7 linked regions of the Sus scrofa genome follow. The protein of the gene in region 2 interacts with the protein of the main gene of each other region in a biochemical or structural test. Links are inferred from orthologs where the notes say so. Each region holds a gene or a part of one and is shown on either strand. Other genes may lie near its edges.

Region 1 (3,500 bases), about 89 Mb from region 2:
TATCATACAAGTCTTTCATAATCACTAGTGGTTGACTTATGTGAGTCTATTTCATTTATCATAAAATCTATGGGTGGGAAGCTTAGAAGAGCCAATAAAAGATTACATGTAGGGACATGTACTGACTTATTAGGTAACTGAAATTGGATGTAATACCCCCTTATTCCTGCAGCATGCTAGATGACAAAGACTTGACTCCAAGCACCTTCTCACCTGAATATCTCTGTAGGAAAGCAATAGATTTATGACAATATCTGCTGTCAGCACTTCAATATTATCCACCCGCTGTCGAATTCTTGCCAATTCAGCTGCCAATTCTTTACCAGTGTATAAGTTACGAGCTTTCCTGATATCGTTGAGTATAGACTCTCGGAAATACTGGCTGGTGAGAAAGCACACAATTTTAATGGTTAATATTATAAAGAATTTCAACGAAAAGCAATGATTTTATAAGGAAAGGAATGATATCTGCAGAATTCATACCTTTCAGTTCATTAAGATGCATAAAATGAATATCTCATCTATCTGGTATTATTGAAAAATCAGGCTTCCTATTCTTTTAACACTCTACCTTGCTTCAGAAAGAATTAAAGGTAAAGACACTCTACGCTAACGAATTTTCCAAGACCTTGCAATGTACCATTTTAGAATGTTAAAAATTTATTTTTCATTTTGCTGTTTGGAGTAGAAATTATTCTAAATAATTACGTGTGCCTATGATTTGAACATAATATAACCTTTATTTTCTAATCCAGCATCATTTATTATGCCTGCTTTTAACTAAAATACAATAATGCTTTCAGCAATTTTTAGAGTTCTTATCCTTACACTAAAAGTCCTTGGACATTTATTTAGATAATATTTCTGTACTAATTTGGAATATATTTTTAGCTCTACCATTACTATAATACCGTTAGCAGTCTTTTTTCTGATTTCAAATTGTTCTCCCATGAATAAAGTGGACAAAATGCAGGAGGTAGACTGTACAGCATCTCTTTTATCTACTTAGAGGATATTACATATTTTTTCCTGATTCTTGGCTGAGTACTATATGTAGGAAACATCTGATAAAATACACAGGTAGGAGTTCTCTTGTGGCGCAGTGGGTTAAGGATCTGGCATCGTCACTGCAGTGGCAAGGGTTCAATCCCTGGCCTTGGAAACTTCCACATACCACAGGCATGGCCAAAAAAAAAAAAAAAAAAAGATGTACGAATAAATGATGTAGACGAGCACATCATTATCCTCGCCAAATGGCATTATGACATTTTACCTGGAACTTGCTTGTGCCACCTTCAAAAGCTGAATGAAACGATCCACAAGAGGTAAGCAGATGGGTCCGAGTAGCAGCTCGAAGTTCGGCTGCATGAGCTCTGTCAAGCCCTTCATGAAGCTGCTATCACAGCAGTAGACCTTATTATGCGGAGTTATCATGTACGGAACAAACGTGTAATTCCCAGTGCACATCTGTGGAAAGAGGAGTCACAGGAGGTGATCAGCTGGCCTGCAGATTCCACACGAATGTAACCCCAAACCTTACTTCGGTGAGCCATTTGAAACAATAACCCTGAATGTGAAGGGAAATCAAAAAGCCTCTTCTTTAGGACCTATGAAAATGGAAATCTCGGGAGTTCCTGTCGAGGTGCAGTGGAAACGAATCTGACTACGAACCATAAGGTTGCAGGTTCTATCCCTGGCCTTGCTCAGTGGGTTAAGGATGCTGCATTGCCGTGAGCTGCGGTGTACGTCACAGATGCGGCTCAGATCTGGCATTGCTGTGGCTGTGGTGTAGGCCAGTGGCTACAGCTCCGATTAGACCCCTAGCCTGGGAGCCTCCATATGCCATGGGAGCGGCCCTAAAAAGACAAAAGACAAAAAAAAGAAAAAAAGAAAAAAGAAAAGAAAGAAAATAGGCATTTCCTCCAATTTCTTTTACTGCTTCCTTCAAATAATTCGGACTTACAGATGATTTAAAAAATAGTATGGCACAGTTTCTATCAATCGATTAAATATTTATTCACCATTTCTCATGGCTAAGGCATGATATACGCAGTAGGAAAAACAGGGTAATTAAAAAAAAGCCTTTAGCCTTCTGGCAACTTGAATTTTACTCAGGGTGACACCGCATAAATACACAGAAATGACCCGAGCTAATGTGGAAGGGCGCCCCACGTGACAGGCACGTGTGAGAGATGCCAGAATAAGCTCCTCTCCTCCAGGCTGCTCCATCGCGGCTCTGGGCGTGTGCCAGTTACTAAGTCTAGAGACCCTGACGTTATCCCTGATGCTTCCATCTTCTTCATCTCCCACAGCCTGTCCAAGTCCTGTCTGTTCTACCTCTAAAACATATCTCGTGTTTGTCCATTTCCGTCCATCTTCTCGGCCAGCACTGCGGACCACGTCATCAGCCTGCCCAGCCTGAGCTGCCCTCACTGGCTCTTAGCTGGGCTCCCTGCTTCCCATCTTGCCTGCCAATCTATTATCTACCCACCTGTCAAAGTGGTCTTTTAACAACCTATATCAGAGGACTTCCCTCAGCTGCTTCAAGCCCTCTCCCTTGCTCCTGGGATGAAGATAAAACAGGGCACGGTAGCCCACTAGGGCTTGACGATCCAAACCCCGCCTCTCTCTCTAACTGCAGCCCCTGCCACTCTGCGCTCACCCATCACGCCCTGCTATCTGTTCCTGACGGCGTCAAGTGAGGGTGCCCTAGTGCAAACCAAAGGGGTGCTGGGAAGAATAAAGGAGAAATTGGATTGAACACCCCTGAGTAAGAGGATCTGACCGGAGCTTAGGGCTCAGGGAAGGGACTGAATGCAAAGTTAAGGATTTCAAACTCTATATGCTGGGCAGTGGGAAGCACAGAAGGCTTCAGAGCAGGAAAGGAAACGTAAACAAAATTATGCATTTTGACAGTCTGGGCAGAAAAGAGAATGAACTGAAAGAGAAAGAAACGAGATTTAAGGAAATTAGGTGGGAAGCTACAAAGCATGACCAGATTGGCAGCAGTGGTAGTGGACGTGTGCACCATAGTCAAAAAGAAAGAATCCTCAAGACTAGTCAGCTGGCTACAGGTACTGAAAGAGAGGAAGAAGAAAGAAGAAAGGCAACTCCACCGTCCTAAATGAGGCTCCCTAAAGAAGAGTGGGACACTTAAAAAGCAAAAATTCAGAAAATAGGGGAGTTCCCGTCGTGGCGCAGTGGCTAACGAATCCGACTAGGAACCATGAGATTGCGGGTTCGATCCCTGCCCTTGCTCAGTGGGTTAATGATCCGGCGTTGCCGTGAGCTGTGCCATGAGACGCGGCTCGGATCCTGCGTTGCTGTGGCTCTGGCGTAGGCTGGCGGCTACAGCTCCAATTCGACCCCTAGCCTGGGAACCTCCATATGCCGCTGGAGCGGCCCAAGAAATGGCAAAAAGACAAAAAAAACAAAAAAAATTCAGAAAATAGAACCAGACTTGAGGAGTTCCTGCTGTGGCTCAGTGGGTTAAGAACCCA
Region 2 (3,500 bases):
ATAGTTCCTAGTTGGATTTGTTAACCACTGAGCCGTGACAGGAACTCTGAAGGGTCTCTTCTTTAAAGAGGAACAGAAGTGCCTCTGCTGTCACTGCCACTTACTACATTTTCAACATGTTACTTATCTATAAATATGTACGGAGGGTGGGACCATATCTAGAAGGTAAATGTATACAGTACAAAATCAAAGATAATTTTTGCGGGGTGATATATACTTTCTCTCTTATCTATATGTGATCCACACTAGAAGATGTAATATGGTTGCATCTACCGAAAAGCGATTTCTGAAAATGGAAGCTTTCCATTACCTTCCAAAACCACTGGATGACTTGATGATTTACACTGTAGCCATTTTTGTACTTTGTGTGTTCTCTCCAGTCATTCACGTCGACATCTCCCAATCCACACATGAGAAGCTACAAAATAGAAAATGTCAAACCACAAGCAAGAAAAATTGGCACAAAGGTCTTGTTTGAAGATAAGCACGATATTTCTCACCTCTAGTTCATTTTCATCAAAAATTTTGATGAGATCCTGTGGAATCAGTTCAAAAAATCCCTAGTGGAAAGAATATATTTCAAACTCCGGTTAGCAGAGTCAGAGGGTAACCCTGTATTTCAGCTTCGGGCATTACTGGAGAAATCCCAAGGCCACACAGATTCCTACCACTACACACCCGTGGGCTCTTAACTGACAATTCAATACTGGCAAGACGAGATATGTGTCTGTTCTCTCACTGATCCCTCAAAGTGGCCGTTTTAAAACTCTGCACTTTTCAAGCCTCCTTCTCTTCCATATCATCCCTTCTTCACAGCAGATAATATCTATTTTAGAATGAAAATTGAGGCGACGCTGCAGGATGGAATTCCCTCAGCCTTCTGCATCCCCCCAGACCAACCAGCACCAACATCCATGAGGGCTTCCTCCCCCGCCCTGGGGAGAGGGACCACTTCCTCTCAGTGCTTCTTCTGCCTCAAGGATGTCATCTCACGACATTTTTATCAGCTCACTCTTTATGCATCGAAATTCGTTCAAGCCATATCTACCTTAAAAACAAAACAAAAAGGCAAGCCCCTCTCTTTTCTCGTCACAGTCATGTTCTGGACAGTGTTACTGTACCTTCCAAAGCTACCTGCTCACCTCCATCTCTCCCTCAACCACTGCAATCTGACCTCTTCATCAGTGCTCTCCTGAAGCTGTCCTAGAGAAAGTCAAAGACAGCTTTGCAGCTGCCTCTGATAAACACTTTCTAGATCCCCACAGTATCGGACTTCTCTGCACTATGATATTGTTGACAACACCTATGCTCTTGAAACTCTGTCTGCTATTCATGGTTTATCTCCTATGTCTTCATCTGCCTTAGCTGATTTCCACTGATGTTTCTTCTGCTGTTCATTCCTTAAATGTTGGTGTTCTCACAGCCCCCCGTGTGGCCATCCACTGTCACCATTCTTAGGGTTCTTTGGAATTTTCCATCCTGTCTAGTCCACAGTTGCACTACACACATGCAGATGATCCCCACGCTGCCATCCTTTAAATCACCCAATGCTATAGCTCTCCCTTCCTGAGGGCCATTCAGATACACACACAGCTCTCTTCCCACCATCCGGACCGTTTCTCACCCAGCTAGCCTCCGCTGCTAGTCCTGCCCTCCTCTAGTTCACTGCATACCCCTTCAAGAATGATCTGGCCAAAATGTAACACCGAATCCTGGTGTTTTATGTTTAATACCATTTAATGCCACCTTCTTTTCTCACTGTCTGGATTTCAGTGAAAACTATACATAAACAGGCCCGCCATCATCTGGTTCTGCTCAGCTTTCCAGGCTTAGTTTTAGCTCTTTCATTCCTTTTTTTTTTTTTAGGGCCACACCTGTGGCATATGGAAGTTCCCAGGCTAGGGGTTGAATTAGAGCTGCAGCTGCCAGCCTATACCACAGCCACAGCACATCTGCGACCTACACCGCAGCTCACGACAACACTGGAGCCTTAACCCAATGAGCGAGGCCATTACCCTCATGGTACTAGTTGGGTTTTGCTCAGCCACAATGGCATCCTCTTACCAATAAGGTAACTGCTGGCACTTTCTCTAAGGTGTGCATAGTCCGTCTTACTGCCAGACTTCACATGTGCTGCTCCCTCTGCTTAGAGTTGCATTTCCTCCATCTCTGTGGCTGGCCAGTCCCTGCCCCTGCCTCCTCCCCTCCCTGCTCTGGTGTCTACACCTCTCCTCTGCTTACCTAGCACTTCAGGTTCCCTCTGTCCATTTCACCCTTTAGATGCTCTGTTCCTTGACAGCAGGCCCTATGTCTTTTTGTCTTGCATAGCACCAGACACAGAGTCAGTGCTTGCTACTGAATACAGGAAAAAGCATGTGATAAATATTTAACAGAAGGCCTTTATTAGCGTAAGAAATGATGACAGCCTAAATGTCCATCAATTGGGAAGAATAACCTGGGAATTTACATCATGAATAAAATGCAGCTACAAAGAAAGGTCACTAAATATGTTGATCTGTTAAGACCTCCAAAAATATTTGATAAGAGAAAGCAAGTCACAAGCCACCATGGACAGTGTGAGCCCATTACAGAAAGAAGCAAATGGTAGACTCTGCCACCCCTCTAGCACTCGTGTTCCTCTGTTCACCTAAGGTTACATAAGGTGGCAGGAGTGGAACTATAAAAGGTGAGAGGAAACGACAGTTATTAAGGGGGGAGGTCAACATTTACTGTATGGATTCTTAAATGACTGTGTTTTAATTGAACACCTATTCATTTACTATTTTGCTAATACGAAGATATACTTACAAATGGTCTTAAAAAGTAAGCCACATGCTACTTTTTCTCTGGTATAATAGGGCCCAATTATTTAAAACTTATGGACTGGACTGGGAAATTACAGAACAGCAAACAAAAGAAAATGAATACCTCCTTAAAAGCAGCCATTTGCTTCTGGATTCGGTTTACAAATCGCCATTGTATTACAAGACTAAAAGAAACAAAACATTTCATCTTTTCCATAGGAACCAAGAAAAAATGTTAAGGTACATGTATTTTGATTAGAAACAAACAAACAAAAAAAACAAAGGCTAGGTAGGCCCAAGGAAAAAGTTGAATGTAATATGACATTGTGATAAAAAGAGAAAAAAGAGGGAATTTCCTGGCGGCTTAGTAGTTAAAGACTCAGCATTGTCACTGATGTGACTGGTTTGATCCCTGGCTCTGAGAGCTTCTGCATGCTATGGATATGGCCAATAAATAAATAATAAGTAAACAATACTTTTTTATTTTAAAAAAGCAAGAAAACAAAATTGAGACTCTGACTCATTGAGAAAGAAGGCACAAAATTATTTCCCTTAAAGTATTTATAGTTACAACAAAATACTTACTAAATATATTCCTTTTTGTTCTTATTGGTGACAACTATTTCTGATCCACCATTTTTCAACTCATGTTGATGTGTCTAAAATTAAGCATAATACCTTGATATGTTATTTTAG
Region 3 (4,263 bases), on a different chromosome or scaffold from region 2:
GGCATGTGCAGCCTGGCCGGCGTGAGGCAGCAGGGAGTTGCGTCTGCACCATTTTAGACTTGTCCGGCACTAAAATCAACCCCAAAGCTGGCCCGCAGGCACAATAAAGAGGGAACCCAAAGACCCTCTGACCTCCCCACCATGGTGGACACGGACCCTTCCTCAGAGACGATCCCGGCCCTGCCTTAAACGGCCCATAGTCTCCTCACCCCTTCTTTGGAGCAACTTCTCCATGACCTCAAGCTGGTTTGACTCAGCACAGAGCAGCCCCTTACCTTTAATGTAAATACGGAAGATGTCATCCTTCACATACGACATCGCCATCGTCAGTTCCTCGTCACTGGAAAAGGCAACCAAGTCCCCGTCCTCATCTAGAATGTTTAAAAGACAGCGCATCAACACCCAGTTGGACACAAGCTGCTGAAAGGACTGAGGCCAGTGCCAAAGGGGCCTGTGCAGGGCTATAAACTGACGCCCACCTGGGTGAGCCAGGGGCAAGCAGGGCTGGGGCCGAACTTCTCATTCACCCTGCCACTGCCTGGAAGGTGAGCACTCCAAGCTGGGCCCAGGCACACTTGGGAGGTGGAGTGCCTGTGTGCAGTGGGCAGCAGTGGTAGCACCCAGCCACCTGCCACTCTGCCTCTGGGCCAGCTGCTCTGTCAGAAAGGTGCTGTCTCCATCTACATCCAACCAGACCCTGTCAACTGTGGGAGGTCCCCATCTGCAACTGGCTCCTTGGCGTTCCAGCCCCTCCAAAATTCTTGGACCTCTTGTGGCTTAGGAAAGTAGAATATATCTTCCTGCTTCCTCCCCAACGAAGCTAAAATTATGTCTTTGTATGAAGCCTCCAACTTTTAGATGTCAGCTGAAATGATTTAAAGCACCACCACACAGAACCAACCACACAATACATGTGCAAGCCAGGTCAGGTCTATGGACCACCAAACACAACATCTACCATAAAATCAGGGACTGTGTCAAAAAGCAGAAATAGGGAGTTCCCGTTGTGGCTCAGCAGAAATAAACCCGACTAGTATCCATGAGGATGTGGGTTCAATCCCTGGCCTCGCTCAGTGGGTTAAGGATCTGGCGTTGCCATGAGCTGTGGTGTAAGTGGCAGACACAGCTCAGATCTGGTGTTGCTGTGGCTGTGGCGTAGGCCGGCAGCTGCAGCTCTGATTCAACCCTCAGCCTGGGAACTTCCATATGCCTCCGGTGTGACCCTAAAGACAAAAAAAAAAAAAAAAAAAAAAGGCAGAAACAACCTAAACACCCATCAGCTAATGAATGGCTAAACAAGATGTGGCATGACCATAAGACAATATTATTCATCCACAAAAAGGAATTAAGTACTGATACATACTACAACATAAGTAAACCTTGAAAATAGTATGTAAATAAGAGATGCCAGTTACAAGACTACATATTTTTACATGAAATGTCCAGAATAGGGGAATCCATAGAGATTAGGGGTCGCTTGGGGATTGGAGGATAGGATGATGGGGATGGGAGGAAGCTAACAGAGTTGGTGTATAAAGTGATGAAAATGTTCCCAGATGATTGTGATAATGGCTGCGCAAATCTGTGAATATACTAAAAACTCAACACTTTAAACTACAGTATGTGAACAGGAACTCAAAGTTATTTTTTTGAAAAAGCTAGGGGCTGGCGAGCTGGCAGCAGTCCTGAGGGAGGTCCCGGCACGGCCCCACCCACCGGCGGGCCTGGTCCGCCCGCCTCCCTCCCAGTCACAACAACCTCCCCCAACTCCACCCCGCGCAGCCACCGGTCACGCCAGCTCAGCTAGAAACTAGGCAGGCTCGTGAGCTCTGTCCCTACACCAACACTTCTCGAGAATGTTTTCACCTTGTCCCTCTGTCCGCTGCCAACGGGATAACGTCTGGATCCCGCCTGGCCTTGGGCAACCTATGGTCTCTCCTCCCCACCTCCGGCCAGACTGTGCAGCCCTGAGGGCTCCCCACTGCTTATTTACCCTCGTCACTTTTCTGCGTAGCCAGCCCTTCCCCCTCATCTGCCCGCCCAGGCTCTTCCGGGTTACTATCCGAACCCCCCATCTGGGGCTAGCGGGCCCCAGCTGGGCAGTAGCCAAGTGGCAGTGTAACCCGAGTGCCCCTCTAACCACCCCGTGCCCGCCGTGAGGACGCCCCCGCGCGCCCTCCCCAAGATCTGCACCATCATGGTGGGGGGAGGGGAGGCCTCTTACGTCGCCGGGCCCGATCCGCTAGGGGACTGGCAGCGCCTGACCCCACAGGTCTGGCTGTGGTCACCACTCCTGGCTACCAGAATGGCACCCAAGGCCGAAATGGGAACCCACGCGGGCCACCGCCCACCCAACGAGCGATCAAACTCCCGCAGGCGGCCCCAAGCCCCACGAGAAGGAAGGGAGCAGCGACCCTGCCCGGCAGGGCAGCACTGCGTCACGGCCCCGCACCGCTCCCCGAGAGCGCCCGGCCTGCTCACCGCGGTAGTGCGCCTGGAAGCCGCCGGGCCGTAGCACGGGGAACAGGGCGGCCACCCGGCTCAACAGCCGCTCGCAAGGTCCGGGGCCAGCCGCGGCCTCGGCTTCCGCCTCGGGCTCCGGGCTGAAACAGAAGCTGAAGCGGCGAATCTCGCGGGCCGCATCCTCCTTGCCCAGAAGGTAGGCCTTCACGGTGAGCGACGCCATGACCACCAGTTGGGGAGCAAGAGAAGAGCCCGGCGGTGGTAGCGGCGGCGGCGGCGGCAGCGGGAGGGGACGCGCGGCCTTTGTAGGGAACGCGGGTGAAGCCCCGCCCCTCATCGCTTCCTGGGGGCGGGGCCTGAGTGTCAGAGGTCTGGCTCCAGCCACCCCGGCCGTCGCGCGAGAGCCGCCCTACAGGAGCCCCAGCCTCGCTACCTCTCCCCGCCGTTGAGCCCCCTCATTCCCGACCCCTCTCCTCACCGCCCCAAGTGCACCAGGGACACCAAGAGGCCGGCCCCGCACGCTGACATCTAAGTCTGGCGCCTACCTCTATACCTGGGGCAAGGGACCGGCCAGGGTCCCGCCCTAGACCCCTCCCAGGCCTGACCAGGCCGTGACTCAGCAAAACGGAACCCAGGCCACCGGGGATGCACAGCTCAGGAGGGAGGTGGGCAACAGAGGCTGGAAGCCAGGAAGAGGGGACACTGCTGACACTGCTAGCTACAACAAATTGGCTCCCGAGGCGCTGTCTTGACCTTGCCACTCTTGTCAAGGGCCCGCTCTTGCCACCAGTTTCTCAGGTGGCAGCCCACTACGCCGCCCCCAGCATCCCCCCTAATGGCCCTTTACTGGGTTAAAGCACAGACACTCAACTCAAACCTGAGCACCAGAGGAGCTTCCAGTTTAATAGGGGGTAGGGTTGAGAGATGCCAGAAGAGCACAGGATCTTCCCATCCCCACCTTGCTGGGGGGTCTGCTAAGGCTTCCTGGAGCCTCAGTGGCCACCAAATGTTCACTGAAGCCCTAAGGACTCCCCATCGGTACTCCCCATCCATCCCCACTTGTCAGCTCAAGGTTCAGCTCAGCAAATGGTGCCCAATGGCCTGAAAGATCTCAGGTCTGTTGGCCTCATGGGCAGCCCAGGGATTACATCAACAGCCCCCACCCTACCCCACCCCCAGGAGCCAAGAAACACTCTTTTATGTAACCGAAGTGACCTGTTCAAAGTGCCTAGGGGAAGGGGGTTGTTGGGGGAGGAGGTGCCTTAGAAGAAGGTAAGCAGGCGGGTATGTCACCCTATGAATCCTCCCAAGTAGGGCTCTGTAGGTAGAAAGTCAGACCTGCTGAGTCACACTCACTTTTTTCATGGTGGGGTTTGTGGAAGTCAGTAAAACTTAAAGGGATGGGAGTTCCCATCGTGGCTCAGCGGAAACAAATCTGACTAGCATCATGAGGACGCAGGTTTGATCCCTGGCCTTGCTCAGTGGGTTAACAATCTGGTGTTGCCCTGAGCTATGGTGTAAATTGCAGACTAGCCTCAGATCCTGGGTTGCTGCGGCTGTGGTGGAGGCCAGCGGCTACGGCTCTGATTCGACCCCTAGCTTGGGAATCTCCATATGCCTCAGGTGCAGTCCTAAAAAGACAAAAACAAACAAACAAACAAAAAACCTTAAGGGAATGGGAAACCCAGAGACCATGGGGAAGGTAGATTGGGTTTGGCTAGTTTGCTGACTTGCTTGTGGAATCACAGCAGGAACCTAGCCACAGATGTGGCTTGTTCCTCCCAGAGAGTTTCAGAGTAG
Region 4 (3,167 bases), about 86 Mb from region 2:
ACTTCAAAGGCCTGCAAGATCCGGGGTCTACTGGGAGGCTGGCTTTCTTTAGACTGCTTCCTGATAAAACTGCTAGCTTTGAGGCTGATTGGCCACTTATACGTCCTGACATTTACAAAGCTATTGGGCATCCCTCAGATAGCTTATGTGGGGATTTAGAAACCCTTATGTCACAGATCTTGCAAACAGCTAGTTTTAATTAAAGCAACGTGAGGCCTTGGAATTCCTCATGCCTCCAACAGCCAATGTGTTTTACTCACACTGAATTGCCCCCCGCCCCCCAAATCCAAGAGCAGTTGATTCTTTCAGTAGTTAAAAGCCTTAGGGCACTTCTCTCTTCCTGGCGGGGGTGGGGGTGCAGGCACCAAATCAAGAGTGCGCCTACCTCAGGTGTGCCGCAGAAGGTGGATGTCGTGCCGTTGTGTTCAATGTTCTCCTTGCAGAGTCCAAAGTCGGTAAGGACAATGTGTCCCTGTGAATCTAGCAAAATATTCTCTGGTTTTAAGTCTCTGTAAAAAAAAGAATAGTCACATAAGTAAATTTCACTACATGAGCAACCCTCTGTAAAAGACCACTGCTGGGGCTGTTAGGCATTTCACATTCACTGGAGTTGTGAATATGAAAGGGAGTCCTTGTTCTGTTCATCTCCTCTGGATTAGGCACGATCCTCGCTGGCTAGTTCCCTAGTGGCACGGAGTCAAAGACAGCTCACATGCTCAGGGATCTGGGTTTAGGTAACCAAGCTGTGCCTTGACACAATGATTTTAAGACCCCGTCAAAGGCTAGGTCAAAACCTAGGGCTATGTTATCTTCTGTCTCCTTTATGCACAGAAGGGAGCCTTAAGAGCTCTTCAGCTCACCTATAAACGATGTTCAGAGAGTGCAGGTAACCCAAGGCACTGGCTATTTCAGCAGCATAGAACCGAGCCCGTGGTTCCAGGAAGCATCGCTCCCTCTGGAGATGGTAGAACAACTGCAAGAGACAAAACAGAGTTAGCAGAGCTGCCAAAGCCTGAGGACAATGCCTAGAATTAGTCTTGACATATATAGCTAAAGAGGACAATGGCAGGAAGCGGCCCTAAATAGTCTATTAACTATTTGAAAGCTGGCTAAAAGCAGGTTCAAAGGGAATGTTCATTCTGATAACTTTTCCCCCCACTGAGTATCTTTTCAACACTTTCCTCTCAGCAGGCTGCCCACAGACACCCAAGGTCACCTCCTAACACCTCTGCTCACCTCTCCACCGTTAATGTAGTCTAGGACAAAGTACAGTTTGTCAGCAGTCTGGAAAGAGAAATGAAGGCCCACCAGGAAAGGGTGTTTCACATTCTTCAGGAGAACATTCCGCTCCGACATAATGTGCTTTTCCTATGAAAAGGACAATGAAGAGTTAGTGGCAAATTGCAACTCGGCTCCAAAGATTCCAAGGTAAAGTCTGTGAATGTCTTATCTCCAACTTCCACCCACCAAGCCCAACTCATACCTCCTTCTTTTTCAGGATCGCCTTCTTTTGTAAAACTTTGACTGCATAGAATGCTTCTTCTGCTTTGTGTCTTGCTAGAAGAACCTGAAATTTAAATTAAAAGTCAATTTTGCTGGCCACATTCAGGGAGTATGTAAAATGAGCATACGAAGGACTGCAAATAATGAAAAATTCAGATGTGAAATTACCTTTCCAAAACTGCCCTTCCCAATCACTTTCAAGAAGTGAAAGTCAGACGGTTTAGCATGAGGATTGGAAGATGGGCCCAGGTTGATTTGCTGAGAAGGACTTGGCTGGAAAATAAAATGTTTTCTTTTAATAGCCTTGCTTCAAAGGAAGATTATCAGTTATACAGTACAGGCAATGTAAAGGAGAATACATCTACAGATGACTGAGGCAGGTCCCCATATATCTATAAACACATTCCAAACTACTTTTCATCTATACATGTGACTATCGTATGGAAATTGTACAGTCGTGCTATTGTTAAACAGAAAATACCCTTATGAAATATGCCTTTTAAAATACTCCACTGACTCATACTTAAGTGCTTACTTATGTCACTTGTTTGCCATGCACTAATGAGGCATTCCTGCCTTGACACTAACTTCTAGAAATGCTGTTTTAACTCAACAATGTAGGAAGACTTATATGACTCATTTACAAGATTTCTCCATTGATGCATCACAACAGAGGACACTTACAGGAGGAGAAGGGTTGGCATTCATAAGCTCAGGCTCCTGAGGTTGAGAGATTTTCAAAATGGACTGAACTTCAGAGCTGCAAAGAAAGGAAGAAGTTAGAACCTGCTCGCTCTCCACAAGGGGGCAGAACAACACCAACAGTGAATTTCTGGCTCAACTTTTCCGGAGAATTCAGTGTTTCAACTAAAAACATCCAAATCAACTACTCAGCTAAAGAAAATAATCGCCAAAGAAAAGAATAAACCCAGTTAACTACAGAGAGGACGGTTGTCCTTTGTGGAGAGAGGGGATTAATTAGGCACACATGAAAGTTTCCTCTTGAATTTCTAGAACAAGCCCAATCAGCTAATTAATTCTAATGTTTCAAATGTTTTAAATAATTAGAACCTAAAGAGAAAACGGACCCGCCCCCTCCCCCCCAGAAAGTCTTTAGCATCCTGATCCATATACTGATGAGAATGTGTCTTCACTACTGGTAAATGGAAAATTTTACTACTTATGTTTATTTTCCCAAATCGCCCCCCAACTTACTGTTTGCATGCATAGGAATTATTGGCAATCTTCTGAATAAAGTCGTTCAGGCCCATCCTTCTCTGTTTCATGAAAGCTGTGAATTAGAGAGGAGAAATACATGTTTAGACGGTATTGTAACATCCAACGCCACGCACACTAATCTGATCCGGGACTTTGCAAAATTTCCACTTCGCGAAACCTAGAAATCCAGCCGTATTCCTACACTCACCGATGAGAATTGCTACCATTCCCCTCATTCTGGAGTAAGTGAGTGTGTTCCTAGCAGCCTCGGTTTTCACTGTCATCGTCACAGAGAACAGGGAGTTGCTAGCGAAGGGAGACCTGCTCAGCCAACACTGCGCTCCCGCACTGCCACCGCCTTTATAAGCGTTTTGTCGCCGCGGGGGCGGGGCCCACGCAACAATGAGGAAGTGGCGCTGCCTGGCCCCGCCCCGGCCCCGCCCCCG
Region 5 (4,298 bases), about 100 Mb from region 2:
AGCATGATCAAAGGGGAGAGTGCTGAGTCTTTTATCTGTGCCTTGCTAAAGAAAGGCTCTGCAGAGCTGTGTGATTTATAAGAGATTGAGCTGGTGAAACAAGGGCCAATGGAGGGATCTCCTGGATAGAACTTTGCCCAGTACCACTCACCAGACCACCACCATCTCAGGGCTGCTGGGGCATCCAGCCCATCCTGCCCATCTCTAAATGGATGACAGTGCTGGATAAAAATGCTGATGTAATTATGCAGCCGATCAGCCCACTTCGTAGATCATGATGCTGAGACCTACTGAGATTCCTCATTGTCACCACCACGTAAGTGGCTGCTTTGCTATTCACTGAACACCAGTTTGTGCCAAGCACTGTGGCAAGTACCCCACTATAGGCTTTGATTTCATCCTCACAATAATCCTCTGGGGTAGATATGATGCTCATTTCACATCTGACATCCCTCAGACCTGAGGCTGGTAAATGCCCAAGGTTACACACCAGAGAACGGCAGAACCAGCATTCACAGCAGCTGGCCTGGGACCACCGCCCCCCACCCCCCAGCCAGTGTCTTTTCTGCCACATCACCCTTTCCTGAAATGAAGCTGTCACAAGGAGCATTCAGTGGGCTCTCGTGACTGAGGCAGCTGATTCAATTCCCAGCATGCCTGCACTCTAATTTTACCCCCCAGGTCTGTGGTCATCCCTCAGGATGTTATGACACAGACAGAGCTCTGTTCCAGCTTTTCACACATAGTCCCAGTGCACTCATAGAGAGTCAAGAATGCTAGGATGTGTCAAATGCACCAAAAGAGCCTACTAAACACCCTGGCAGGGCTCTCAGATGTCACCCAAATACCTCCTACAATAGAGTTGCCTGAGAAGCAGTTCAAGTGCAGATCCTGGGACTCCCCACCCCAGACCTGTGGAGTCAGCCTCTCCATGGGTCTAGGTAGCAGCACTTGGGAAGCTGCATTTTCACAAGCTCCATAGTTGGCTTATGCCCTCTCAACTGAGAAACTCTTGACTATGGTTTCAGAGATAGAGTCTGTTGTGTCATCATAAAAAAGCTGAAATAATATCCTACCTAATACCATGTGCAGTGTTCCCCCTAAGAGGAAATTTTACTCATGGGATTTTTTTTCAGGTGATCTCCCCCCTCACCTTTCAGACGAACACACAGGGATGTTAGAGAATCCCAATAGGGTCTTTCTAAGGAAATGCTCCATCCTGAATTCCTCCTTCATGCCTTTGATGGGTTCTACATCTCTCCTACCCCTGCTAGTTCACTCTAGTAAAGATATTCAGCAGTTCTTCCCTGAGAATGCAGGTTTGCAGGAAGTTCTGAGCAGACCACTTAAGAGGTGGTTTAGGAGGTCCCACTGTGGCTCAGTGGGTTAGGGACCCAACCTTGTCTATGTGAAGATGTGGTTTTGATCTCCGGCCACAATCAGTAGGTTAAGGATCCAGTGTTGCTGCAACTACAGCATAGCTTGCAGATGTGGCTCGAATATGGTATTACTATGACTGTGGCGTAGGCCTCAGCTGCAGATCTAATTCAACCCCTAGCTAGGGAACTTCCACATGCCACAGGTGCAGCCATAAAAAGAAAAAAAAGAGGAGTTCCCATCATGGTTCAGAGGAAACAAATCCAACTTAGGAACCATGAGGTCGTGGGTTTGATCTCTGGCCTTGCTCAGTGGGTTAAGGATCTGGCATTGCTGTAAACTGTGGTATAGGCCAGCAACCATAGTTCCAATTGGACCCCCAGACTGGGAACCTCCATATGCTGCAGGTGTGGCCCTAAAAAGCCAAAAAAAAAAAAAAAAAAAAAAAGAGAAGGAAAGAAAAAGAAAAAGAGAGAGAAGTGGTTCAAATAAAAACCAAGTTCCTTGTTTGTCCTTTTGGAGTCTCCACTAAAAGGGGGGAGCCCCCTCCCTACCCCTTGTCCACTCTAGTCCATGCAGTGTGTCCTGCAGTCTGTGTTCCCATCACAGCACTTAACACTTGCTGAAATTACTCTTAGAGTTACTACCTCACCCTCCCAATAGATTGTAAGATTTTTTTCAAAGATAAGAATAGTGGTATACAATGCTGGTATACAATGCTTAGCACTTAGAAATGGTTTTTTTTTTTATTTTAAATGCTTAAATGCTTATTTTAAATTAATTCATAATATGAAACACCTTTCCTTAGGATAAAGTATTGATGAAAATCTTATGACCACCACCTTCACCCTGGAGTCAGTCATTTGCTCTTTGGCAACTTGCCTGTGTTCTGTCTACAAATCACATCCAGGAACCCTAGTGAAACAGACAGGCAAGGCTTGAGGAAAAAGGCATCTTGCTCCCAGATAGATGTTTTTCAGCCTAGGAACCAAATAGCTAAGAATTCAGGCAAAAATGGCAAAATCCAAATTTTTACCTTTCCTATCTCCTTGCCTCTTTGGCCTCAGAGACATTTGAGGCCCCTCAGAGGACCACAGGGTCTCCTCACCTCATTGCCAGGGATTTTACTTTCTGGAGAAATAAACACTAGAGGGATTTACAGACAGGCATGTGCTGGTGAAAGCCAGCAGACTGTATCAGCAAACAGCAAACTGGAAATGGCGCTGGGTCCATTGCTGAACTTACTCTTCAGCTGTGATGTGGGAGTGGCCGTGCCCCTTCTTAGAGGAACCATAGAAGAAGTGAGCCTCTTCTCTTGGCATCTTGTGGGGTCAGGTCACAGGACACCTAACAGCAAGGGTACGCAAGTATCACTTCATGCATCCAGAGTGTTCTTGCAATCTCAAATATCCACGAAGACATTTTTGCCAGATGACTGATAATAAGAGCTGAACCCCCTGGTTTCTCTCTGTGAGAGAATTTGTACCTGTTTCTTTCACTGGTAACAGGTAAAAATTGTTCAGGTTTCTAACCCCTTTCTACCAACTGAAAATTAAGCAAGGAAGAAACCACAAACAAAGGCAAAGATCTTTCAAATTGAGTTATTATTTGTGGCGTGGAAGGGGCGGGGTACAGAAACTTCAATTTGACTCTATACATAAACTTGTAGAGAAAAAAAAAAACCCATTGTTATTCATTCCTTACTTTCCCTGGCTGATGGCTGTCGTTAATCTGAGGAATTGTTTCTCTCCAAAGGATTTATTTACTTATTTATTTATTTAAGACCCACACCCAGGGCATGTGGAAGTTCCCAGGTAGGGGTCAAATCACAGCTGCCAGCCTATGCCACAGCAGTGCCAGAACTGAGCCGCGTCTGTGACCTACACCATAGCTCATGGCAGTGCCAGAACCTTAACCCACTGAGCAAAGCCAGGGATCAAACCTACATCCTTATGGATACTAGTCAGGTTTGTTACCACTGAGCCACAGAGGGAACTCCTACAAAGGTTTTATTTTATATCAATCCTTGGACAAATAGAAGGCTATGGTGACATAATGCATGTCACCTAGCACAGCACCCTCCAAGCCCATTTTCTAACAAAGGAACGGCCCAAAACAGCTGCCTGGGTGTGTCCACATTCACCCATCCAAGGTAAGCCCAGGAAGCCTGACTCTGTCTAACAGTTTGTTTTCCCTCCTACCAAAATCATTTTCTTCATCTCCCTGCTCAAGTCTCATGACTAGGGTTTAAAAATACATATATATATTTCTAATTGTAATACAAAATTTTAAGCAGTAATGAAAAAAAATAGACAAAAAGCTCATGAACTTCAGTGGTTGTGATTAAAGTATGCTGATCAAAAACTAACAGTGGCTTCTCTTCTCTCCTTACTGTTGTGTATTTTTCTTTCCACATATTATTCTCATGAATCCCAAAGGTCTGATTTCCAGAGAGTTATATTAATGAGCCTGTTTAGAATAGCTGGAGAGACATGGGAGATGGGACAGAGAGTTGATCCCATGAACCCTTACCACGGGGCATTTCAAGTGTAATCTGCCCTTCCCAGTTGTGAAGAAGAAACCACACTTAAACCCACTGGTCATCTCAGGTGAATAATGCGGGGGTGAACCCTCTGTTCAGAATTAGAGGCACAATACTTGATTATTTTTGCATTCAATTATTTGTGTAGATCTCTACTTCCAGCTTTGAGCCTTGGCAAACAGTGCAGAGATTGCACATGCACCTCACCCCATCTGAGCCAAGAAAAGTGGTCTTGAAGGGACCAGGCACAGGTGCCCTCAAGCCAGCTGCAGCCTGAATGGTGGCTTCTCCTGGCTCTCTGCTTTGCTTCAAGGCAGTCTAGAGAGAGGACCTAGGGGAGACTCTGTGAACCTTCAGAAGTCGGAGGATTATCAACGTT
Region 6 (3,500 bases), on a different chromosome or scaffold from region 2:
AGTAGAACTTTTATAGATGTTTCTAACACGTAGTCTTAGTTGTCATCAACTGCTATTAAATATGGAATTCTAAAAACCAGAATCATTCTGAGAAGTTAGAGGCGTCAAAACTCAGACAATGCACGAACAAATATTTCAGCTAAGAGTCTCACTTCCCGAATGTGATTTCTCTACATGATTGAGTCAAATCACCTTTTACATGATGAAATTTGTTTCAAAAAAATGGTTAGAACTTTTCCTTCCATAACCAAGGTGCTTCATAACTGGGGATTATATATTAAAAACAAAAAAAACAAAAAAACTCATCAAAGAATGCTAATATTCACAATTCAAAGACTTGATAACCACAGCCTGGTTTTATTCACATAGCTCTGTTTTCTCAGCTATGAAAAGTACAATCCACCTCTTTTCTCTCCTCCAACCTTAATGCCAGTTTACTAAACACTTGGGGGAAGGGGGCTACCAATGATTTCCATAATAAACAAAAATTGCATAAAAAAACCAACTGAAAAGAAAAAAATGTTTTTGATACACTATATTCTGCAGTACACATTCTTAGTATAGGCAATTAGCTGACTTGTGCCAAATTCTTAGGAACAGTAAACACACATGCACACACAAACACACTCTTCGCTCAGTTACACACGTCAGACCAGAAGTTACTTGCACAAGTGTGAAACCAACAAAATGTGGGGGCAGCATGTAGATCACAGGCTCAGTGCTATTGCAGTTCTGAAGGCCAAATTTCTCTCCAGAGGATCAGCTCAAGGTACTCTCCTTAGCCTCTGTAACTCTGAAGTTAGATGAAAACCCTTCTGCACTTGATTGTAAAACTTAACGAATAGATTTTTCCTGTGCCATTAGTCATGCAAATGATAAATACTTTACGGCTGTAAGAACCAAAAATGTCAGAACTTGAGCACCTTTTCAAAACAAAATATTCACTCTAGCTTTATTTGCCACTTCAGGAATCAGGGCAAAATTGTTATAAGAAAACCTTATATATAATTCTCCAGGAAAATGAAAGATAAAGGTGTTTTTTGTTTTTGTTTTTTGTCTCTTACCTTCCACTCTATAATTTATGTTCTACTTTGAAGCCCAAATTATTTCACATGGTTATTCCATGTTTTAAATGCCTGCAATAAAGCTCTGCTACAGCAAAAACTGATTTTGAAAGCAGGTTAGCCAAGAATCACACCACAACCATAGCCCTTAAAGGCAAGAAGGAATCTGCTGCTATAACGAACGGAAAAATGCTAGATATTTGTACTGTCCTGGGAGGTTTTTTTCTGCAAACGGGAACCTGTAGCTGCAACATGGCTTCGTTTTCCGTACATGGTGGTGCTAGTTCATCTACTAGAACGCTTCTCGTTAGTAAGGCTAGGCAATCTCTCTTCATCACAGTTGCTTCCTTCTTGTGCAGTAAAGTAAAAGACCTTCCCTGCTTGGTTAACAAGAGAGTCGGTCTGGGGTTTCAATCCGGATCAAACCCTTGTGAGAGTCTCCATTTTCTGGGCAAAGCAGGTGGTAACACATTCTGAAGCCAGGCTGTATTTTTGACACAACCTGTTCTAACTTTCGCTCTACCAGGGACTGATGCGTGAGTTAGTTCTGTGTCACAAATTAGGATAACATCGACAATTAAGCATCGAGTCTCAAAAACAGAAAGGTGTCAGCTGAGCAAAGGATCTCTCCTCATAATGCTGCTGGCAGGTCAGCTGTTACTATCTTACTTGACGCAATACATTGGTTAGAAGCACTATCTCAGTTCCTGAAATCCAGTACTCTCGTAGGAAAATATTTCTCCTTTACTTATTATTATTTTTTTTTTAAGAAGACAAAATATTTTAATTGTGAGCGGTCATAGGAATTCTTCTGGTTTCTCTCCCATGGTCATTTTCAATGGATGCCATAGTTGCGTCTGTCCCCTGGGTGACAGCGCCATCCTCCGGTCCAAGGAGACCCCGCCCTGCCGAGGGACTGGCTCCGCCCTCAGCTGCAGGTGCCGGGAGCAGACCGAGGGCAGTGGTGGACGCCGGGGCTATGAAGCCAAATGTTCCTCGGGGACATCGGCAGACAATCCCTGCTCCACTCCCGACAAGGGCTGCTCCTCCCCTGGAGAGCACGGCACGCGTCCTGGGGGCTCCGCAGCCCGGCGGGCGAGGTCTGCAGCGCCCGCGACGTGGGGCGGCTCCCGACCAGGACAGCCGGCGGCCGCGGGTGCTATTGAATGTTACAGGCGGAGCAGCACGGGTCGTCCTTGTCCGGCTGCGCCGCGTAGTTCATCTGCCTCACGATTTCCGCAAAGAGTTCGTCCACCATCGTTTTACTCTTGGCAGACGTTTCCATGAAGGGGCAGCCCCACTCCTCCGCCAGGGCCCTGCCTTCGCCGGAGGACACCTCCCTCTCGCTTTCCAGGTCCACCTTGTTCCCAACCAGGATGACTGGCACTTTCTCATACCTGTGGGAGAAGCGACAAAACACACAGACGTTGCAGGAGTTATCGGCACAGAGTTAAGCAGCTGGAAGGCATTTTCTCTTCTTTCACGATATTCGACTACCAATAAATACTCTCTTGAGTGGCATGAAGAATGATTTGCTCCAGTTGGCCCTAACATCTGCCTTAAGGCATTTGGAAGCAGCCTCCTCGTGGATCATAAGCAGCTTTTTCAAAATGATGTTTTTAATTAATTATACATCTTTTAAAATCAATTTACCTTTCCAGATAGACGCGGAAAAGTAGTCTCCGAATCTCCGAAGAAGTCCCCTTAGATGGATTAACGTAAACCTTTTTCGTTATAAGAGATGCTTACTCAAAATTTCACTTGATGAGGTAATAGCTCTACTGAGTAAACAAATAATTTATAATTTTATATAATCTCAGCACTTTAATGTTCTACAAGTCTGTAAAACTGATGTTCGAACAGTTCCAATATAAGAAAAGAGCTAGCAGAACTCATGAGGATAGACCCCATCAAGTATAACCATATTCTATCTCTTTACAAAAACCCTTATAGATGAGCCTGTTGAAAGACAGCTATGGTTCTTTTCAGCCTGACATGGACTGAAACATTTCATTTTTTTTTAATTTTTTTTTTTTTTTTTTTGCTTTTTAGGGCTGCACACGTGGCATATAGAAGTTTCCAGGTAGGGGTCTAATCAGAGCTGCAGCTGTTGGCCTACGCCACAGCCACAGCCATGCAGGATCCGAGCCACGTCTGCGACCTATGCCACGGTTCATGGCAACACTGGATCCTTAACCCACTGAGTGAGGCTAGGGATCGAACCCGCAACCTCTTGGTTCCTAGTCGGATTCTTTTCCGCTGCGCCATGATGGGAACTCCTGGACTGAGACATTTCAATCATTAGCTTTATTTGATGTTCTCTCTTCTTTTCCTTCCTGACTAGAATCAGTGTGATACAGACTCAGTGCGTGTCCCCTCAAAATTCCTGTTGAAGCCTAATCCCCAATGTGACAGTACTTAGGAGGCCAGGCCTCT
Region 7 (2,673 bases), on a different chromosome or scaffold from region 2:
AACTCTTTAACATACCTAGTATAAAGACAGTGTTAAAATGAACAGAAGAAAATATCCTGCCTATCATCCTACTACCTAAGCAAGCAGACTGAATTTTTTCCTAATAAGTGTTACCTAGCACAATCTCTTATTTCAATCACCTGGGAATTTAAAGCCTTTGAGAGCAATGAACAGGGCAACAAAAACAGTATCACATGGGGATCAGGTCCATTGCTAGCACTGTGCTTGTGAAACAGCTACAGATGACAGAAGACACCTGAAGGAGAATGTGAAGCTTAGTAAGTAGGAATCATGTTAGATTAATTTTGTTTACTTGAAAGGAGTTTTTAGTGTAAATCCAGGAGTAAGACAGTTTTCACTTTAATTACTATATGTAAAAACAGAACCACTAATTTCAGTGTACTTACTGGGCTGTTGCAGCCTAAAGGTCTCTTCATTAACCCCAGTTTAAAGCTCACTATACCTTTCTACAGATTCAAGAAGAACCCAACTCTGCAATGTTTCAGAAATCAATACTCTAGGTAAGATTTTCCTCATATCACTAAAACTCTTAGCAAACAATTTTAATGGCTGCATAACTGTTCAAAATATCCTACACCTCAATTTACTTAACTATTCCTCTACTGTAGTTTTCCACTAAATAAAACTATGCTGGCAGTTCCCTTATGGTGCAGTGGGTTAAGGATTCAGCATTGTCACTGCAGCGGCTCAGGTCACTGATGTGGCACTGGTTTGGTCCCTGGCCTGGGAACTTTTTGTATGCTGTGGACACAGCCCCCCCCCCCCCCCGAAAAAAAACCACCAAAAAACAAACAAACAAATCAAAACAAATTTAAAAACCCAACTTACGGTGAATATCTTTGTACATAAAGCTCTAGGGGTTGGAGTGAGTTATGTATTTTTGGACAGATTCTAGAATTAACTCTCTCAAATAGTTTAGGTCTAAAAGTTCTTGAGGAGTTCCCGTCGTGGCGCAGTGGTTAACGAATCCGACTAGGAACCATGAGGTCGCGGGTTCGGTCCCTGCCCTTGCTCAGTGGGTTAACGATCCGGCGTTGCCGTGAGCTGTGGTGTAGGTTGCAGACACGGCTCGGATCCCGCGTTGCTGTGGCTCTGGCGTAGGCCGGTGGCTACAGCTCCAATTGGACCCCTAGCCTGGGAACCTCCATATGCCGCGGGAGCGGCCCAAGAAATAGCAACAAAAAAAAAAAAAAAAAAAAAAAAAAAAAAAGACAAATAAATAAATAAATAAAAGTTCTTGACATATTGCCAAATTTCTTTCCTAGACGAAAAGGCCACCAGCAATGTTGGCACTAGTTCACACTTATTATCACTAGGTGAATCATTTTTAACTGACACTGTCATCCAAATGGACATAGGCAACATAAAAAACAGAAGTTGCACCATCAGTTACTTCTTACCTACTTTAATATGAAAATTTCTTAATTGCTACCTCTAAATATTTTCTTGCACAAACTGATTAAATATCTGCTTCCAAATGCAGGATAATATTTTTTAAAAACAAATCTCTGAAGATAGACCTTAAAAACATGTATAAATTAAACTTACTCCCGGATCTTTTTTTCTGATCCATCTCTTCCAGGGTCATAAACTCCTTTAGGCAGATGCTGTATAAGGCCTATTCTTTGAGCTATCCTAATTTGTTCCTCTTCAGTCAGCTGAGTTGCTAGGCGAGTCTGGCTAGGTGTTGGATGATAGACCGGAACTGGAACTTGTTCCTAAATTTTAAAAAATGGAGAAAAGAATTATTTTTAAAAAATATGTATCCTGCAGTAATGCTTTCCTTTTGTTTCTTTTTTTGGCTGGGGTAGGGAGCTTTGGGAGAAGGAGACCGGATAAGTATGCAGAAACGTGAGATTCTGTTTTACCCTGCCTTAACTTCTAGCATATCACGTGTTTAACGGATATAAACACAAAACTTTACTGAAAAACTAGCATGTTTTTCAGAAATGTTACCTGAAGTATTTCTACAGGAAGACCATATAACCTAGATATATTCATTCCTGACACACAGATAAATCAATGTAATTAATTAACCAATAATTCAATATTCTGTAGGCCATATTCAATATTCGATATTGTAGGACCGTATCCAATATTTTTTTTTGGGGGGGGGGTCTTCTTAGGGCTGTGCCCATGGCATATGGAAGTTCCCAGGGGTCTAATCGGAGCTGTTGCTGCTAGCCTACGCCAAAGCCACAGCAACGCCAGATCCGAGTCGTGTCTGCAACCCACACCACAGCTCACGGCAATGCCGGATCCTTAACCCACTGAGCAAGGGCAGGGACCGAACCTGTAACCTCATGGTTCCTGGTCAAATTCATTTCCACTGAGCCATGACAAGAACTCCCTGTATTCAATATTCTATAGGCCATAACAGAGTATTGTGACCTCAGTATACCATTATTTACATTAGAATTGGCCATTACAGAGTCTCCTTATTTGCAAACTTGTTTCTTTCCATATAGACAATAACTTTATTTTTAAATTTTTTTTTTGTCTTTTTGCTATTTCTTGGGCCACTCCCTCGGCATATGGAGGTTCCCAGGCTAGGGGTCGAATAGGAGCTGGAGCCACTGGCCTACACCAGAGCCACAGCAATGCAGGATCCGAGCCGCGTCTGCAACCTACACCACAGCTCACGGCAACGCC

The links.
Region 1: the proteins of NEDD4 (region 2) and MAP3K5 form a complex in vitro, tested with the Homo sapiens proteins (2 studies listed by BioGRID, with this or other methods). The link is inferred for Sus scrofa from reciprocal best matches to the Homo sapiens genes NEDD4 and MAP3K5.
Region 3: of the proteins of NEDD4 (region 2) and SQSTM1, one has a biochemical effect on the other in vitro, tested with the Homo sapiens proteins (2 studies listed by BioGRID). The link is inferred for Sus scrofa from reciprocal best matches to the Homo sapiens genes NEDD4 and SQSTM1.
Region 4: the proteins of NEDD4 (region 2) and SGK1 form a complex in vitro, tested with the Homo sapiens proteins (3 studies listed by BioGRID, with this or other methods). The link is inferred for Sus scrofa from reciprocal best matches to the Homo sapiens genes NEDD4 and SGK1.
Region 5: the proteins of NEDD4 (region 2) and MLANA form a complex in vitro, tested with the Homo sapiens proteins (2 studies listed by BioGRID and IntAct, with this or other methods). The link is inferred for Sus scrofa from reciprocal best matches to the Homo sapiens genes NEDD4 and MLANA.
Region 6: the proteins of NEDD4 (region 2) and RAP2A form a complex in vitro, tested with the Homo sapiens proteins (2 studies listed by BioGRID). The link is inferred for Sus scrofa from reciprocal best matches to the Homo sapiens genes NEDD4 and RAP2A.
Region 7: the proteins of NEDD4 (region 2) and RNF11 form a complex in vitro, tested with the Homo sapiens proteins (3 studies listed by BioGRID and IntAct, with this or other methods). The link is inferred for Sus scrofa from reciprocal best matches to the Homo sapiens genes NEDD4 and RNF11.

Annotation. Positions count from the first base shown.
Region 1 is NC_010443.5:27,470,643-27,474,142, reverse strand, and holds part of MAP3K5 (mitogen-activated protein kinase kinase kinase 5), read right to left. Parts: intron 1,468-3,500; coding exon 1,274-1,467; intron 383-1,273; coding exon 214-382; intron 1-213. UniProt on the Homo sapiens protein: Serine/threonine kinase which acts as an essential component of the MAP kinase signal transduction pathway. Plays an important role in the cascades of cellular responses evoked by changes in the environment.
Region 2 is NC_010443.5:116,059,707-116,063,206, reverse strand, and holds part of NEDD4 (E3 ubiquitin-protein ligase NEDD4), read right to left. Parts: intron 3,464-3,500; coding exon 3,390-3,463; intron 2,990-3,389; coding exon 2,929-2,989; intron 561-2,928; coding exon 501-560; intron 419-500; coding exon 311-418; intron 1-310. UniProt on the Homo sapiens protein: E3 ubiquitin-protein ligase which accepts ubiquitin from an E2 ubiquitin-conjugating enzyme in the form of a thioester and then directly transfers the ubiquitin to targeted substrates. Specifically ubiquitinates 'Lys-63' in target proteins.
Region 3 is NC_010444.4:78,761,199-78,765,461, forward strand, and holds the start of SQSTM1 (sequestosome-1), read right to left. Parts: upstream 2,801-4,263; coding exon 2,482-2,800; intron 372-2,481; coding exon 276-371; intron 1-275. UniProt on the Homo sapiens protein: Molecular adapter required for selective macroautophagy (aggrephagy) by acting as a bridge between polyubiquitinated proteins and autophagosomes.
Region 4 is NC_010443.5:29,747,786-29,750,952, reverse strand, and holds part of SGK1 (serine/threonine-protein kinase Sgk1), read right to left. Parts: intron 3,059-3,167; exon of another isoform or gene 3,006-3,058; coding exon of another isoform or gene 2,930-3,005; intron 2,795-2,929; coding exon 2,719-2,794; intron 2,264-2,718; coding exon 2,188-2,263; intron 1,777-2,187; coding exon 1,672-1,776; intron 1,568-1,671; coding exon 1,484-1,567; intron 1,369-1,483; coding exon 1,237-1,368; intron 974-1,236; coding exon 861-973; intron 510-860; coding exon 386-509; intron 1-385. UniProt on the Homo sapiens protein: Serine/threonine-protein kinase which is involved in the regulation of a wide variety of ion channels, membrane transporters, cellular enzymes, transcription factors, neuronal excitability, cell growth, proliferation, survival, migration and apoptosis.
Region 5 is NC_010443.5:216,242,661-216,246,958, forward strand, and holds the start of MLANA (melanoma antigen recognized by T-cells 1), read right to left. Parts: upstream 2,801-4,298; 5' UTR 2,700-2,800; coding exon 2,623-2,699; intron 1-2,622. UniProt on the Homo sapiens protein: Involved in melanosome biogenesis by ensuring the stability of GPR143. Plays a vital role in the expression, stability, trafficking, and processing of melanocyte protein PMEL, which is critical to the formation of stage II melanosomes.
Region 6 is NC_010453.5:66,713,662-66,717,161, reverse strand, and holds part of RAP2A (ras-related protein Rap-2a), read right to left. Parts: intron 2,462-3,500; coding exon 2,224-2,461; 3' UTR 1-2,223. UniProt on the Homo sapiens protein: Small GTP-binding protein which cycles between a GDP-bound inactive and a GTP-bound active form. In its active form interacts with and regulates several effectors including MAP4K4, MINK1 and TNIK.
Region 7 is NC_010448.4:160,878,041-160,880,713, forward strand, and holds part of RNF11 (RING finger protein 11), read right to left. Parts: intron 1,740-2,673; coding exon 1,570-1,739; intron 1-1,569. UniProt on the Homo sapiens protein: Essential component of a ubiquitin-editing protein complex, comprising also TNFAIP3, ITCH and TAX1BP1, that ensures the transient nature of inflammatory signaling pathways. Promotes the association of TNFAIP3 to RIPK1 after TNF stimulation.